Linked DNA regions of Oryctolagus cuniculus. The protein of the gene in region 1 interacts with the protein of each later gene in a pairwise test. Links are inferred from orthologs where the notes say so. Each region holds a gene or a part of one and is shown on either strand. Other genes may lie near its edges.

Evidence for each region.
Region 2: the proteins of XPO7 (region 1) and USO1 interact in binary tests that used the Homo sapiens proteins (3 or more experiments, as listed by UniProt). The two-hybrid records come from large-scale screens. The link is inferred for Oryctolagus cuniculus from reciprocal best matches to the Homo sapiens genes XPO7 and USO1.

What each region holds. Positions count from the first base shown.
Region 1 is NC_091439.1:1,312,514-1,321,695, reverse strand, and holds the start of XPO7 (exportin-7), read left to right. Parts: upstream 1-3,274; 5' UTR 3,275-3,334; coding exon 3,335-3,355; intron 3,356-3,830; coding exon 3,831-3,977; intron 3,978-7,843; coding exon 7,844-7,937; intron 7,938-8,200; coding exon 8,201-8,367; intron 8,368-9,182.
Region 2 is NC_091439.1:90,119,488-90,128,595, reverse strand, and holds part of USO1 (general vesicular transport factor p115), read left to right. Parts: intron 1-1,836; coding exon 1,837-1,925; intron 1,926-2,992; coding exon 2,993-3,147; intron 3,148-4,120; coding exon 4,121-4,332; intron 4,333-6,326; coding exon 6,327-6,347; intron 6,348-9,108. UniProt on the Homo sapiens protein: General vesicular transport factor required for intercisternal transport in the Golgi stack; it is required for transcytotic fusion and/or subsequent binding of the vesicles to the target membrane.

The DNA.
Region 1 (9,182 bases):
AAGAAATATTACACAAACTAAATGAGTTCCAAGATGTTCTGCTTTGAGAAATATAACATCTCATGTACAGAGACAGTGTTTATGACCCCGTTACCCAGAGGCAGCTCTCCCGGTAAGGTAGTATATGCTGAGGGCTGTGGTCTCTGCAGTTGGCACCTTATATTGAAATGAGAGTAACCAAGTTATGTTTTCTCTGTTAAAGTCAAAAAGACTATACCATAATGTTGCTACTAAATGTTAATACCATCACTAGGGCCATTGTTGGGGAAGTGCATCTAGTTCTAGATTTGGGGATTACTTGGTCAAGTCTTTGTACTAAAGCAATACTTTGAAGGTTGCCTTCCAGTTTTTTATTTTGTTTTGTTTTTTAAAGATTTATTTACTTGAGAGGCAGAGTTACAGAGAGGGATGTTCCATCTGCTGGTTCGCTCTGTAAATGGCTGCAACAGCCAGAGCTGGGCTGATGAAGTCAGGAGCCTCCTCTGGGTCTCCCATGTGGGTGCAGGAGCCCAAGCACTTGGGCCACCCTCTGCTGCTTTCCCAGGACGTTAGCAGGGGGCTGGATCAGAAGTGGAGCGGCTGGGACGTGAACCGACACGGATATGGGATGCCAGCACTGCAAGCAGAGGCTTAACCCACTAAGCCACCCCCACCTTCCAGTTTTATAAATGTGCTTTTCTGTTATAGTGGAAACAGATGGAAGTTTTTCTATGAGTTGTATAGGCTTGACAGTCTCTGTAACAGAAAATAGACTTTGTTCCTGGAGACTTTTCTGTGAACAAAGTGGCATCACAGAAGAGGTGTCCTTAATAAGAGCTGCAGGGTAGGAAAGACCGAACAATGGTGTTACATGCAGAGGCGCAGAGAACACTGGCGTGTTGTGCCACCCCGAATGTGTAGTAGCCTTAATAGCTACTCAGATAATTGTAAGGTAGATTTTCTTTTTAGATTTATTTTATTTATTTGAAAAAGTTACAGAGAGAGGTAGAGACAGAGAGAGGGGTCTTCCATCCACTGGTTCACTCTCCAGTTGGCCACAACGGCTGGAGCTAAGCAGATCTGAAGCCAGGAGCCAGGAGCTTCCTCCGGGTCTCCCACGCAGGTGCAGGGGCCCAAGGACTTGAGCCATCTTCTGCTTTCCCAGGTCATAGCAGAGAGCTAGATCAGAAGAGGAGCAGCCGGGACTAGAACCTGTGCCCATATCGGCGCTTCAGGCCAGGACTTTTTTTTTTGGGGGGGGGGGGGGACTGACAGAGTTAGACAGAGAGAGAGAAAGGTCTTCCTTCCGTTGGTTCATCCCCCAAATGACCGCAATGGCCAGAGCTACACCAATCTGAAGCCAGGAGCCAGGTACCTCTTCCCGGTCTCCCACGTGGGTACAGGGACCCAAGCACTGGGCCATCCTCCCCTGCCCTCCCGGGCCACAGCAGAGAGCTGGACTGGAAGAGGAGCAAACAGGACTAGAACCCTGGGCCCATATGGGATGTCGGGGCTGCAGACAGAGGATTAACCAAGTGAGCCATGGTGCCGGCCCCCAGGCCAGGACTTTAACACGCTGCGCCACAGCGTTAGCCCAGGTAGATTGTTTTATGTTGGTTCTCTACCCAGCCCCCAAAAAGGAAGTTTAATGATCTGACTAACATTAGGTTTGCTTTGGAGGCCGTAGGAACCCAAAGAGCGTGAATGTCACCTTTCATTCCTTCACCCTTCCATGGCAGTCTTGGCAACTCAAATAGAATCACTGTTCACCTGTGTTTCTTAGATGCTTCCACTAATTGTTTGAGAAACAAAATTGTTTCCCATTTGTTCTGAAAATAGAGAATTAGAGCTGTAGTTCTCCAAACTGTTGTGTAAATGGTCACATTACTTGTTTTATTTTTGAAGTCTTGTTTCCTGAGTTGAGAACTCATTCCAGACTTACCCTGCAGTGTGTTTGTCTGCTGAATTAAAGCAAATCAGAACACAGCAGAAGCCACCATAGCCTGACCTAGCAGGTGCTTAGCCCTCGTGGAGTGAGCAGCTTTGCTGTAATAAACATAACACAGGAGTCGCACGGTGGGGGAGCCGCCGCACCCACTGACTGATGAGGCAGCACTGAGCATCCTCACGCCCTGAGCAGCCGCCTCCTCAGGGAGTGTGCGTGGGGTGTTGGCTGTGGAGGCTGTGAGGTGGCTGTTGGCCCAGCACCTCATAACCAGGCTCACCCTAACGTTTTATCGCCATGGCCTTCTGTTGATGTCGTCTGTATCACCTTTTCTCTTACGCGTGTCGTTTTATGGGAGTGAGTGAAGCGCAAACTTGCGCAGTAGATGTAGGGATTCAGAGTCAGACTGATGACATTGTCAGTAGTCTGGAGCCAGTACACGCAAGCATCGAAGTGACCTTCACAAGCCTGGCTCGGAGGTGTGCTGGTGTTCACGTGCCACGTGAAACGCCCAGCGCTGCCTCCCTGCTTGAGATCGGACGTTGCCTCTGCAGCGTTCTCTGTGCTTTTGAATGAAGGTGTTCCGGCAGAGCCCTGGGGTCAGGGAAGAAGTCGCACATAGTAAGCCTAGTTTTACAGAGTCCGGGGTGACTCCAAGAGCTCTGTGTTCTGTTTTGAGGATAAGGGTTGTTTGGGGGAGTGGGAGCTCTCTGAAGTGAGACTGATGATCCAGACTGTCAGTATTTGTCTTCCTTGTTTGCTTTGGGTGAATCTTGGAAACTTACTAATCCGGTTGAATAAAATAGGGATTGCCCTGAGGGCTTTCCTGGTCAGTGGGAAAGCTGTGATTTATAAAGTTAAGCATATGAATTAAAGTGATGGTGAGAAGCCTTGGACAGACTAGCAGTATAATATGTTTTAGGCAGTTTACACAGCTTGGTTTGTTTAACTGTTGTTATTACATTCGCTCTTGTAAGCATGGTCGTTTCTGAAGGGGGAACTCCTCAAACGAAACCAGCTCTTGCTTACTGCTGGTGACAGTGGCCTCAGACATCTTCCTAAAGTCCAAACCACTCAAGGCTAACAGATGCTGAGTTTCTTCTCCGGGAGGTGAAGAGTGTGTTTGTAACTAGTGCCTTTCCACTTTGCCTTTATCAACATCACGCTAAGTGGAAGTAGATGTGAATCCCTGTGGGGCGTTGACCAAAGCACACACCCCCCCACACCCTCCCTGCCTTGCTGGAGCCAGTTTGAGATTTGTAGAGCAGGGTTTGTTTGGGGGCGTGTCCCTTGTCTTATCTGTGGGTGAGCATATGCTAGGGTTGACTTTATTTTGACCCTTCCATTTTGAATTTGGAACCGGAGCCAGTTTAAAGTGCAGCAGGAGCAGCGTGCCTGCTGGACTTCAGCATGAGGGACCCGGGGCTGCAGGTGGGTAAGATCTCTTCTGTGCCGCTCTCAGGTTTGCTCACGGAGGCTGGCCACCGTCTGAAGGCACACACTTAGTGGGATCTCATAGCAGCTCCTCAAGGGGCTAGTGTTTAAACTACATGGAGGTCATGTGCTTAGTCGTAGCGGCAGCGTATTTGTATTTTTTAAATTAATGGCAGAACAATTAAGTTTTGAGTGTTTGGAAGCCTTTTCAAAAAGCGTAGCGGGATGGGTATTTGCATGGGGGGAAATACCATTTGTGATTGATAGAATGCGTGTGTGCGTGTTTTAAGGCGGTCACTTTGTCTTGAGCTGGCATGGTTATTACTAGATCACGGTCCCCCCGGTTGTCCTCAGGATCAGGAACAGCTCTCTGCTCACTGATTATTATTTATTTCTTCCCAGTGATTTCGAGCGCACTTCCTTGTGGATATAGCAGACTGGACTGATTTCTTTCTCCACTGATCTCTTCCAGAGCCTGGCCCAACTAGAAAACCTGTGCAAACAGCTGTATGAGACAACAGACACAACCACTCGCCTGCAGGCGGAGAAAGCCTTGGTGGAGTTCACCAACAGCCCCGACTGCCTGAGCAAGTGCCAGCTCCTCCTTGAGAGAGGAAGTGTACGTGAGGTTTGAAACACCCTGAAGGGAAGAGGGCAGTGTAGCAGGCTGCTCTGGCTCTCAGGCTAGGGGTGGAGCGGGGGAGCTCCTGCTCCCTGACTCTCTAGGTGGCCCTGCCTTCTTCATTTACTTTTACAAAGTGCCATACTTGCCCGGTTGGTGAGAAAGGCCAAAGACCCCACCAGGAAAAGATATTTGACTGTTCGTTTCTGTCCTGTTGTTTCCCATCTTGAAACAAACTTCTGGGACTCATTTTCTGTGTTTTTTTTTTTTTTTTTTTTTAAGATTTATTTTATTCATTTGAAAGGCAGAGAAGGAGAGCGAGAGCGAGAGATCTGTCTTGTATCCACAGGCTTAATCCCCAAATGGCCTCAGCGGCCAAGAGATGAAGCCAAGTGCTTCCTCCAGGTCTCCCGCATGAGTACAGGGGCCCCAAGCACTTGGGCCACCCTCTGCTGCCTTCCCAGCAGGGATCTGGTTCTGTAGTGGAACAGCCAGGACTGGAACTGGTGCTCTGGTAAGGGATGCCCATGTCACAGGCAGGGGCTTAACCTGCTGTCCATAGCACTGCCCTTCGCTTTCCGTTTTGATGCGTAAGTGCCACCTCCTGTTTTGTTTTATTTATTTGAGAGGCAGAGTTACAGACAGAGAAAGGGAGAGACAGAGAGAAAGGTTTTCCATCTGCTGGTTCACTCCCCAATTGGCTGCAACGGCTGGAGCTGGGCAGATCTGGAGCCAGGAGTCAGGAACTTCTTCCTGGTCTCCCATACAGCTACAGAGGCCAAGCACTTGGGCCATCTTCCACTGCTTTCCCAGGGAGCTGGATCGGAAGAGCAGTAGCTGGGTCATGTATTGGTGCCCATGTGGGATGCTGGTTCCGGAAGTGGAGGCTTAGCCCACTGCCCCCACAGCACCAGCCCTGCCCCCTCCTGTTTATTACAGGAGGGCAGGGCTGGGTAGAAGTGATCTCCTTCTGGTCCTGAGTCCTTGTCACCCTATAAGGCCCTCAGTTTTCTCTGTGTCTTCCTCCTCTGTACCTTACAGTGAGTCTAGGAAAAATGACTGACAGGAAGCTGTAGGTTTTAAATGGAATTCAACACCCTGCCAGCTTAGAAATGGCATGGCAGTGATCAAAATGATGCTTGATTGAGACATAACTTGATGAAGTGACTATTTTCGGCAGAATGGAGGGGAAGTCCTGAAAGGGCGTCAGAGCCAGGCCTGCGGTGGGCAGCACTGACCTCTGTGACAGGGCATGCGGTCAGGTGCAGTCCTCCTTTTCCCTCGTGCTCACACAGGCACCTTGGCCTGTGTGCCCTGTGCAGCCAGTAGGCCTCACTGTCGCTCTTGTTGGCGGGGTGGAGATGAAAGTGGATGTCTCAAATGTGATGGGGCCACCGCTGTGGCATAGCCAGGGAAGCCGCTGCCTGCAGTGCCGGCATCCCATATGGATGCTGGTTTGTGTCCCGGCTGCTCCACTTCCATTGCAGCTCTCTGCTATGGTCTGGGAAGGCAGTGGAAGATGGCCCAAATGCTTGGGTCCCTGCACCCATGTGGGAGACCTGGAGGAAGCTCCTGGCTCCTGGCTTCGGATCAGTGCAGCTCTGGCCATTGCAGCCAATTGGGGAGTGAACCAGTGGATGGAAGACCTCTCTCTTGCTCTCTGTGCCTCTCTCTCTCTGTGCAACTCTGACTTTCAAATAAATAAATAAATCTTAAAAAAAAAAAAGAAAAGAAAAGAAAAAAGAAAGTGGAAGTGATGGTATAGTGCTGTGTCCTGAACAGAGGTTTATCCCTTAAGAGCCGGGTAATAACACAGCATTTCCAAAAAACTATCCTTTGGACTGGAAGGAGATGTGGACAAATAAAAGCATTTAATTTGTTGAGGGAGTAGGGCCAGCATTGTGGCACAGCCAGCTAAGCCTCTGCCCCGTGATGCTGTGTGGGCACTGATTGAAGTCCCGGCTGTCCCACTTCTGATCCAGCTCCCTGCTAGTGCTCCTGGGAAAGCAGTGGAGGGTGGCCCAAATATGTGGGCCCCTGCACCTACCTGGGAGACCCCAGTGAAGCTCCTGGCTCCTGGCTTCAGCCTGGCCCACCTCTGGCTGTTGCAGCCATTTGGGGAGTGAACCAAAAGATGGAAGATGTCAGTCTCTGTCTCTCCCTCTCTGTAACTCTGCCTTTTAAATAAGTAAATCGTGAAAAAAATTGTTGAGGAGGATAGACTTCTGACTTTCATTTTTGAGTTTTCATTAGTGTCACAATTGTGTTTATGCGACAAAGAGTTAGTTAGAATTATCCTTTAATAGCTAAAGATCGAATTCTTTTTTCCAAATATCTGAAGATTGCAAAGTGATAGATTATGTAGTAGTCTGTTGTAAGTTGTACAATACTAGTACTACTTCGTATACTTCTTTTAAATCACTCGGTGTTGGGAATGATCGGCCTAAAGCTCTCCAGTCCACCCCCACCACAGTGCAGAGTTTGACACTGTCAGCTCCAACTCCTGCCTGTTGACTCTTGACAAGTTAAAGAACACAGAACTGGGACAATGCTGAAACCAGAGTGGTTTCTGCCTTTTTAATCTCTGTTGACTTCTTAATGACTTGTTAGATTTATTGCATTATATCTAAGAACATATATTCATTATACAGTTATATATTATGTATTACGATTAGAACAGTCTCTTAGTCATGGTTTCACATGCCTGCATTAATCAGTCTAAGTCATGTTCAGGTATGTTGAATAAAAACCATGTTGTCAAAGACTTGGTGTTTTTCCATAATTAATTTTTTTAAATAAATGAATAGCCTCCTATCTTAAGGACCTTTAGTTTCATGAAAAATTATCTTGGACCCTGGATTAAGTTAGTTACTACTTCTCATTCTGTTTCTGTTGTGTGACATTATGTAATTAATGTTGTCACATGATTCTTATATCCTATGACCAGATGGAATGCTTTAATTCTTCATAAAGTGAAAATTCATTAAAAATCACATTTGAAAATGTGATAATGCTACTCTGGTGCTTAGGACATAAGTTTTCTTTCTCAACAAATATCTTTTCAAAGTTTACTTTAAAACTCATCTGCTGGCCGGCGCCGCGGCTCACTAGGCTAATCCTCTGCCTTGCAGCGCCGGCACACCGGGTTCTAGTCCCGGTCGGGACGCCGGATTCTGTCCCAGTTGCCCCTCTTCCAGTCCAGCTCTCTGCTGTGGCCTGGGAAGGCAGTGGAGGATGGCCCAAATACTTGGGCCCTGCACCCCATGGGAGACCAGGATAAGTACCTGGCTCCTGCCATCGGATCAGCGCAATGCACCGGCCGCGGCGGCCCTTGGAGGGTGAACCAACGGCAAAAGGAAGACCTTTCTCTCTGTCTCTTTCTCACTGTCCACTCGGCCTGTAAAAAAAAAAAAAAAAACACAACTCATCTGCTATCCCAAAAGCTATGGCTGTGCTGATAGAGAATTTGGGGGTTAAGTAGATAGCATTGTGGGGTTTCCTCAGAGTTCTGTTTCTTCCTTCTAATGCCATGCTGTAGTCCTTTTGAGACATCACGATAATGGGGTGTTGAGGTGGAGAGTTCTTGGCTTGTGGGAGCTTTCTGAAAGGTGCCCTCTAGTGTCTGTTTTCAGGGAAGCTGGTGTCCATGTTGGATTAGGTCCAGCAGGCTGTTCACTCGCCCCTCGTCCAGCATTGCAGTCAGCTGAGCCCTGTGCTAGCGGGGACTCATTCTTCCCCAGAGTGGTAGACCCTCTAGCACCTGAAAGACTGAATAAAGTAAGACAGGTTCCCTTTACTTGGGAACGTGCAGTGACAAACCTTGTGACGATGCAAGTTGAAGTCTTTTCCCCCTCTCTTCGCAGTCGTCTTACTCCCAGTTATTGGCAGCTACATGCCTGACGAAGCTTGTGTCGCGCACAAACAACCCCCTGCCACTGGAGCAACGCATAGATATTCGTAAGTACAGGATTTCCCGTCTGTCTTGAGAACAATTCAGTCTGCTTAGTGGTGTGTTAGAAGTTAAGTTTATGAGTTTGCCTGATAACATGCTTAAATTTAAGCAAAGCATGCGGAATATCTAGTCTGGGTTTCTGCCGAGGCCCTGTTTGTTGTAGCATGAAGAATGAGGAAGGCTTCAGGGTGTACTGTCTGAGCCTGCCTCCTCTCCGCCACCCTTCATTGTGGAGCGCTGCACTCCAGGGATCGTTTCTCTTTCGTAGGGAACTATGTGCTCAACTACCTTGCCACCCGGCCAAAGTTGGCTACTTTCGTGACACAAGCGCTCATCCAGTTATACGCCAGAATCACAAAGCTGGGCTGGTTTGACTGTCAGAAGGATGACTATGTCTTCAGAAACGCCATCACGGACGTCACGAGGTTTTTACAGGTACGATGTCTGTATTGGATGTAAAGGTGTGACACAGCAGCATAGGCATAGAAACTGCACAAAATGGAATTATTTGGTATGTTCTTTTCTATGGTTTTTTTTTTTTTTTTTTTAACTCTTAACATGTCTTGGCAGTGTCTACGTGTTACCACAAGCAAACCCTGCCTCATTCTGTTGAAGGCGCACATACTATTCCCAGCTAAAATAACACAATTAACTAACTTCTTGTAGATGGACATTGAGTTTGTTTCCAATTTCTGGCTGTTAAGGAGGTACTTGCATAGAAATTCTTGCATGTTTGTGGAGTGACTTCCTGGCCTGAACCTGGACTTGGTCAATCAAAGGGATGTATATATTTTTCCTTTCAAGCATATTTCCAAATCCGCCTCAAAAAAGTTACACCTAATTATACTTCTGCCAACCCTTTGTTAGGGTACTTACTTTGCAAAATTTTTTATTTGTCCGATTTAATAGGTGAAGAATTAGTATCTCACTGTTTCGTTTATGAGTGAAACTGGACAAATTTTCATTTTATTTCACTGTTTACATTTTTCTGTGAACTTCCTATTTTCACCGTTAATTTTTTAAATTATTTATTTATATTTTGATTTGAAAGGTACAAAGAGAGATCTTTGGCCCATTAACTTTCCACAACAGCCAGGACTGGGCCAGGCCGTAGCCATGAGTCCGGAGCCCAGTCCATGAGAGACAGGAACCCAAGTACTTAAGCTGTCACCTGCCGCCTCCGGCAGGTGTGAATTAACAGGCAGCTGGGATCAGGAGCGGAGCCAGGGCTCCAGCCAGAGACTCCGAGA
Region 2 (9,108 bases), about 89 Mb from region 1:
TTTCTTTGTCCCTGATGTGTGGCATTTTCTGTTTCTTACCTATAAGAAAATAAGTTGTTTAAAGAAAAAATAAAGGTTAATTTATTTTAAGTTTACACATGTACATTTAAAGTGTAAATAATGATACAATTTTATAATAAAAACAACTGGCCTGGCTTCACTCCTCCCCTACCCTTGTACTCTACTTCTTCCTATCACCCCAAAATTATGGGATACATACTTAAGTCAGCAGTCAGTTACTATCTGTAATGACTATACTAATACTGCACCTGCTAAGCCACATAGAGCCCTGTACCTTTCATGAGTTGTCACTCTGTTCTTCATCTGACTGATCTTGTGTCTCTGCATAGTATTGGTGCCATCATACCTGTAGCACCCTGGGCCTTCCAGAAACCCCCCTCCTCCTGCTGCAGCCTGGGCTCCAGTTCTGCTACATGTCTCTTGTCCTGGGGTCCTGGGACTTTATTTTGCCATCCTCCTAGGATTTCCTTTCACCCCTGTCTTGACTTGGATTGTTTGGTTATCTGGCTCTTATATCTTCTTGTTTTACTCCTGGGTTTATTATGTTATTTTCCTTAATTTCCTGAAAGAAGTAAAAGACAAGAAATTTTTTTAGCCCTTTTCTTTCTGAAAATGTCATTACTTTCAGAGCAGGATATAGGATTCAGGGTTGGAAATCACAAATACAGCTTTCAAAACATCATTCCAGGATTGTTCTGAGAAGTCTGAATCCTGAGCCTTTTTCTTTCTAATGTAACCTGCCTTTTCTCTCTAGAAACCTGAGGCCTTTTCTTCATTTCTGGTTTTCTGAAATTTACTGATGGTGTGCTGTAGTGTAGCTCTCTTCCCCACTCTTCCCGCACAAGGCCCTTTGAGCTGGGGATAGATGCCTTCTGTTTCAATGATATTTTTGGTATTCCTTAATTCTCTCTTCTCTTCTGCACCTCTATGAACACATTATTGGATATTCTGAATCCAGTTTGTCTTTTTAAAAAATCATTTTAATTGACAAATTAAAATTGTGTGTATTTATCATATACAACATATTGCTTTGAAATATGGTTTTGTTTTTTATTCTATTTTGTTGAAGTTCTTTCAATTTCATCCTTAGGTTTCATTTTTAATTTAATGCATTTTAAATTTTTTCTCTGATTTTAAAATTTTAAAGTAACATTTTCCTCTTTTGTAAAAACATTTTATTATTATTAGTCTTTGTGGGCTTTTTTGAGACTTTAAATGTATGTGATCAAGTGTTATTTTTAATTGGAGACCCATGCTTGGTGTTTTGGAACTTTATCTTGGAAAAAGTGTTACAAGATTATAATGCTGGCCGGTGCCGCAGCTCAATAGGCTAATCCTCTGCCTTGCTGCGCCAGCACACCAGGTTCTAGTCCCGGTCGGGGCACCGGATTCTGTCCCAGTTGCCCCTCTTCCAGGCCAGCTCTCTGCTGTGGCCAGGGAATGCAGTGGAGGATGGCCCAAGTGCTTGGGCCCTGCACCCCATGGGAGACCAGGAGAAGCACCTGGCTCCTGCCATCGGATCAGCGCAGTGCACTGGCTGCAACGCGCCGGCCGCGCCGACCATTGGAGGGTGCACCAACGGCAAAAGGAAGACCTTTCTCTCTGTCTCTCTCTCTCACTGTCCACTCTGCCTGTCAAAAAAATAAAATAAAATAAAATAAAAAATAAAAAGATTATAATGCTATCACAGATTTTTATCTTTTTTGTGTCTGAGTTTTGACATTTAAAAATAAAAGCAGTATATAACATTTTTTTTTCAAAAAAGGTTTTCTTCTTAACTTTTTCTACCTTTTTGTTTTTTTCTCCCCTTAACAGACCATAAATACTGTATCAGAAGTTATTCGAGGTTGCCAAGTAAACCAAGACTACTTTGCTTCTGTAAATGCACCCTCAAACCCACCAAGGTAGGAGAAGGGAAATGGTTGTTAAGATGGCCCATATATGGGCCCAGCATTGTGGCGTAGCCGGTAAAGCTGCCACCTGCAACACCGACATCCCCTTTGGGCAATAGTCCCTGTCCCTGCTGCTCCACTTCCAATCTAGCTTCCTGCTAATGTGCCTTGGAAGGCAGCAGAAGATAGCCTGAATGTTTGGTTCCCTGCCACCCACATAGGAAACCTCGAAGAAGCTCCTGGCTCCTGGCCCAGCCCTGGCCATTGTGGGCATCTGGAAAGTAAAGCAGCAGATGGAAGATCTCTCTCTGTGTCTCTCCATCTCTCTCTCTGTAACTTTCAAATAAATAAACAAATCTTTTTTAAAAAATAAAGAACAGATATCCTCTATATACTTGTTAGTCCTCTATAATAATTCAGATATATGTTGTAAAGCAGATATCTGATAAAATAAATATTTTTCTAAGACTTAATTATTTTAAATGCAGAGTGATAAAGGACAGAGAGAGAGAGAGAGAGATCTTCAATTTGCTGACTCACTCCCCAAATGCCCACAACAGCCAGAGCTGGGCCAGTCCAAACCCAGGGCCTGGAACTCCAACCAGATCTCTGATGTGAATGGCAGGGACTCAAGCTTGCGATCCATCACCTGCTGCCCTCCAGGCACATAAACAGGAAGCTGGATCAGAAGCAGAGGCAGGACTTGCTCACAGGAACCCCAAACATGGGATACAGATGTCCCAAGCTGTGGCTTAACTCTCTGTCACAGTGCCTGCTGCAATACTGGTATTTTAAAAGAGTGGTAACATTACATTGATCTTTGGAACTTAGATGTGTAGGCTCAGATAACACCTTTTTCACTTCCTAGTGATGTCGCTTAAGCAGGCAGATTACCTCATTTCTCTCAGCTACTTTCCTTTTGTCTGAGATGGAGAATGAAATCCGTAACTTGCTCATGCTCTGACTGTGATTCTTCAGTCAACAGAAATGAACTGCTATTCATACATATATTCATATATAATGATTTGTATACCTGGTTGCAGTGTTTTGTTTTGTTCTTTTCCTTTTAAATGCAACAGGCCAGCGATTGTAGTGCTTCTCATGTCCATGGTAAATGAAAGGCAGCCGTTTGTCTTGCGATGTGCTGTTCTCTATTGTTTCCAGTGCTTCTTATATAAAAACCAAAAAGGACAAGGAGAGATTGTGTCAACACTCCTGCCTTCCACCATTGATGGTAAATAATTTAATTCTAATTTCTCTCTTAAGAAAGAAAATAATTGTCTTTTAAACTTTTAATTGAATCTGTCTCTCTGTCCCTTAGCTTAAAATACTGTGTATGGCTCAGGGGAATTCCAAAGCCTAAGGCATGGGTTTAGAAAACAGGCTTTGGAGTCAGACCACAGTTTGCATTGTAGAATTTCTACTTCTCTTCTGTGTAACTTTGGACAAGTTGTTTTTAATTTGAGCCTTATATCAAGTTGTGGGGAGGTAATAGTCACCTCAGTAGAAGTAGTCTGAGGATTAGTGCATTACATATGTGAATCACTCACCCAGATACCTAATGTAATAGATGCCAACAAGCAGAAGCTGCTGTTGGTAGTAATTACCATTCTAAAGATAACCCTACCAGAGTACACAGGGCATCGTGGTCTGTTGTTCTAGTACAGGTCATAGTCTTGCCTTTTCTATGGTTTCTTTAAATACTTCATTTTACCAGAGGTGATTTCTTTAAAGATTTGCCTTTATTAACTTTAAGAGCAGTTTGATAAAGAAGTAATTGGATATATCAGTGGAGTTCATTTGAATCACATACATTCTGAGTTTTTGGTCAAAACTTTGTTACACTTTACCCAAAATTTTTTTATAAAATCATTACTATAAAATATCAGATAAGAGGAATAATTTAAGTGTTATTTCCTTAACTTTGTTCTAGAAATGCTATTTTTAATCATGATAATCACCCCCAGGAATATTATCATTAATTTAACACCTAAAGTGTCATAATATGTCTTCATTCTGCTACTTTTCTTCTAAGATTCCTTTCTCTCTCAATTTTGTTTTGAAAAGCAGACTTTCATTGTTTGGAAATGTCACATGATACTCCTGATAAGTAAATCTTTAAATAGTATTCAGTAGTATTTCATACTATTTGGGTGTGTATAAAAGACAGCAATTCTTCTAAATTTGATTTCCTCCCATTTTTCTAGCAATGGGAAATTCAGTTTCAGCTGGTCAGTTACTATGTGGAGGTCTGTTTTCTACTGATTCTCTTTCAAACTGGTGTGCTGCTGTGGCCCTTGCCCATGCTTTGCAAGAAAATGCAACCCAGAAAGAACAATTGCTCAGGGTTCAACTTGCTACGAATATCGGCAACCCTCCAGTTTCCTTACTGCAACAGTGCACCAATATCCTGTCACAGGTAAAATACAGCATGAAACTTCTCCAGCCGGGAAAATGATTCAGCTATATGCCTTGATGTCAGTGATAACAGCGATTTAAGGATGCCCTTAGAATGTGCAGATGAAAAAGGAAAGAAAGGACGTAAACTCATTGTAACCAGAAACAGTTTTGTGAAAAGAAAATTTTTATAGGGCTGGCCCAATAGTTAATAAGATCTGATTCATGGTGGAAATACATGTTCTGAGCAGAAAGGTGGTTTTGATTTTATTTTCTTTTTAAGTCATCCATGATGTTTTTGCATATCAGTTTCTCTCTCTTCTCTCTCTTTTTTTTTCTTTTTTTTCTTTTCTTTTTTTTTTTTTTTTTTTTTTTTGACAGGCAGAGTGGACAGTGAGAGAGAGAGACAGAGAGAAAGGTCTTCCTTTTGCCGTTGGTTCACCCTCCAATGGCCGCCGCGGCCGGCGCGCTGTGGCCGGCACACCGCGCTGATCCAATGGCAGGAGCCAGGTGCTTCTCCTGGTCTCCCATGGGGTGCAGGGCCCAAGCACTTGGGCCATCCTCCACTGCACTCCCTGGCCACAGCAGAGAGCTGGCCTGGAAGAGGGGCAACTGGGACAGAATCCGGTGCCCCGACTGGGACTAGAACCCGGTGTGCCGGTGCTGCAAGGCGGAGGATTAGCCTAGTGATGTTTCTCTTTTTTTCTAGGTGACTGAATTCAGGTTAGTTGATGAGAGGGAACAGCATAAAGAAGATGGTAGTTGTGTGCCTCTCTTGTTTTCTTCCCAGAGCAACAGATTGCTCAAAAACAAAAACAGCAGTCCATGGCATATGTAGTTACTCAGTGTCCCCCTTGATGTTTGTGAGTCCTCAAGTTCCCAGCACACATACCTTATCTAATAAGGCCTAGAAAAACATCACTAAACATTTGAGAACAACAAAACTCTGTTGAAGTGTGGATGCTAGGTATTTAGGAATGTTACTTTCTATGAAGTGACTTTCCGACATGTGCAAGCCTTGCTGTTGAACAGTTCAAGTTCATGCTTTAGCGAAACTGGGAAGTCATTGACATTCACAGTCACTCAGGGAGGATGAAAAATGTGGCCAGGCCAACCTCTTTTTTTTTTTTTAATTTATTTTATTCATTTGAAAGACAGTTACAGAGAGAGGTAGAGGCAGAGAGAGAGGTCTTCCATCTACTGGTTCACTCCCCAGATGGCCGTAACGGCCGGAGCTGCGCCAATCCGAAGCCAGGAGCTTCTTCCGGGTCTTCCACGTGGGCGCAGGGGCCCAAGGACTGGAAGTGGAGCAGCCAGGACTAGAACTGGCGCCCATGTAGGATGCTGGCGCTTCAGGCCAGGGCGTTAACTCACTGCGCCACAGCGCCGGCCCTGATTGCCACCCTCTTACCCACCCACATGATACTGTGCTGAGTTCTTTAATTGTGAATTTTGCCTCATTTGTTGAATTTTTCCTTATTTTGAGCTTTTAAAGAAATACCAATGCCATCCACAGAAGTTACAGAGGAAAGCTTAAAATTGACTATAGTGAAGGAGTAGAATGTTGTTTAAAATTGGTTTACTTCCATTAAAGCTTAGTATATATTTGATTTATCACTTCTTTCTTATAAGAAAACTACCCCAAACTTTTTGTATCTTAATTAATATTTGGCATTCTCATGTTGCTGTATATTGAAAAATAGCCTTTTAAAAGCCAAACAGTAATTAACTGTCTGACTCCAATTCCACAGACCTTGCTTTAACATTGTAATTATAATTGGTACATAGTAAGAAAGCCTAAAGAGGTGATGTCTTCCCCACAAGGTGCTTTAAAATTAACCCTTTATCCTCTAAAATATGTATCATTTTTATGCAATAAAAGATAAGAATTATCCAGTCCAAAATTATTGGCTTTGGTATGTAGAAATATTGTGAAAGAATTTTGAGGGGTTTTCTAGAATCCAATTTTTCTGGAGTAGTGATATTTATGAATAATTTTTAATGTATAATTTGCAGGGTGATAAGATCAACAGACGGGTATGTATTATTTGATTCAGCTTAGGCATTTTCCTCCTACAGCAAGGCTTTTTCTTTGTCTTGGGTTTTGCGATATTTTTAACTGCTTGTTTGAATTTATATTCTACTCACACTTACATGTCAGCAAGTTTATCTCTATCTTACGTGGCTCTCCAGTTTTTCTCCGTGGGATTTTTGTTGTGGTGTTGCTAAGAACTATGGGAAAGAGAATCTGAAGCTGTGTACTTATGCTTCCTCCAGGGCTGCTTGCACTTTCTGGGATTCCTTGGTTTTGGTTTTTTGTGAAGCTTGTTTCTTTATTTCTTCTAAAACCATTTCATAGGAAGTAAAATTTAGAGTTAAGAATTTTGTGTATAGTTAATCACATATGAAAGGTTGAGAAGACTTTTATATTACTTAGATTATTTTAAACATGGAATAGTAAGTATCATTTTGTAATTGGAAAGATTTTAAGTTAAATAATACAGATTATCCTGGGTATAACCCATAAACTACAACTACCATTGGGGTTTAGTTCTTGATGTGTGAGAGTAAAGTGTTTTTTGTGTTTGGCTTGGTTTGGGTTTTGTTGGTTTGTTCGATGGTTGTGTTTTGTGTATTCTAATATTTGGCAAAATAGAAGTGGGCCTTAATATCCATGGTTGAGCATGTGTTTTAGTACATACGAATTGTGTTTCTATATGTGAGCATGATTTAGCATGTGTTAATGACACATATATTTGACAGCAGTGGGCTGTTGAGGTTTTTATATTAGAGACTAGAGATAAGTATTCAAGTCAGTCATTTAAAAGAGTATTGTTTGAGACACTAATTTATGCACTTTAGTAAAATGTACACACCTGATATGTCCAATCTGATTTTTTTTTATGTTTATTTATTTGAAAGACAGAAAATTCAGCTGGGTCACTCCCCAAATGCCTGTAATGGTCCCAGCCAGGGCCCAAGCCAGGAGCCACAAACTTACCCAGATATCCCACATTGATGGAGGAACCCAGATACTTGAGCCATCCCTACTGCTTCCCAGGATCTACAATAGCAGGAAGCTGGAGTCAAGAGACAAAGCAGAGTGTCAAACCCAGATACTCCAGTGTGGAACATGGATGTCTTAATGACCACATTAAACTTCCACTCGCAAGGGGATTTTTGATGTTTGAATGTATCTCTGTAACCACCACCCAAAAGATGTAGACTGTTTTCATAATTCTAGAAAGTTCCATGATGTTCCTTTCCTTTTTTCCCTTTTCATGTCCCAGAGTCTAGCACTAGAAAGTGATCTGCATCATAATATGCCAGAACCTCCTTTTAATGCTGAGCAAAAGACATTTAAAATGTTGGCTTTTTAGGTTTTAAAACAGTGCAAGATATTAGACTTGGAATGTACATAGTAGAAATGAGAGACATTTTTATCTAGAATGTATAATAGGGAAAATTTGATTACTTATGACAAAGAATAGAAGATTCCATTTCAAATGTTTTGTTTTAAATTCTCTTCCATCCCATAAAATCTGTGGCTTCTAATAAGTAAACCTTCAGAACACTGGGAAAATATCATTTAAGCCTCCGTTTGTTTCTCCAAATATCAGTGGTTCACATACTCAGGGGATGATAGAAAAGGATTTGCACTTTTTCTTATATTTCAAATAATTGTTCATTTTATAGTAAAGCATTTAACCCTGGTATTTGATATATGAGTTACAGATTTTTTTTTTCCCTGACATCATATTTGTCTTTTGACCTTGGTGTTGTGTCTTGATTTTTTTTTCCCTTATACTTTTCTTTCACAACTTTAGCACTTTGGTTTTTGGTATTTTTTAGTTTGTGTTTTTTTGTTTGTTTGTTTTTTTGTTTGTTTGCTTTTTGCTTTTTGCTTTTTTTGAGAGGCAGAGAACTCTCATCTACTTGTTTATTCCCCAAATGCTCACAAGAGCTATACTGGGCCAGGCCAAAGCCAGTCTGGATCTTCCACTTGGATGGCAGGAACCCAACGACCTTAGCCATCACCTGTTGCCTCCCAGGATGTGCATTAGCAGGAATATGAAATCAGAAGCAAAACCAGGACTCAAACCATCACTTTTTTTTAATAAACCTTTTTTTTTAAAAAAAGATTATTTACTGGGGCCAGCATGTGGCATGGCAGGTTAAGCCTCCACCTGATACACTGGCATCCCACATGGGCATAGGATTGAGTCCTGGCTGCTCCATTTCCCATCCAGTTCCCTGTTAGTGTGCCTTGGAAACACAGCAGAGAATGAATGACTCAAGTGCCTGGGCCCCTGTACCGATGTGGAAGACCCAGAGGAATCTCCTGGCTACTGGCTATGGTCTGGCCTAGTGCTGGCTGTTGCAGCCATTTGGGGAGTGAACTAACAGATCAAAGATCTCTCTCCCTTTGTCTCTTTTCTCTGTAACTCTACCTTTCAAATAAATTTAAAAATAAATCTTTAAAGATTTATTTACTTACTTGGAAGGTTGAAAGGCAGAGTTATAGAGAGAGAAACAAAAAGAGATCTTCCATCCACTGACTGACTCCCCAGATGACCATTAATAGTAGGGGCTGGGCCAGGCTGAAGCCAGGAACAAGGAACTCCACCTGGGTCTTCCACATGGGTAACAGAGGTCCAAGTACCTGGGCCACTCCCCACTGCATTTCCAGGCACATTAGCAGGGAACTGGATGGGAAGCAGAGCCACTAGGACTCAAACTGGCACTCTGACACGGCTGCTGGCATCACAGGCAGCAGCTTAACCTGCTGCACCACCTC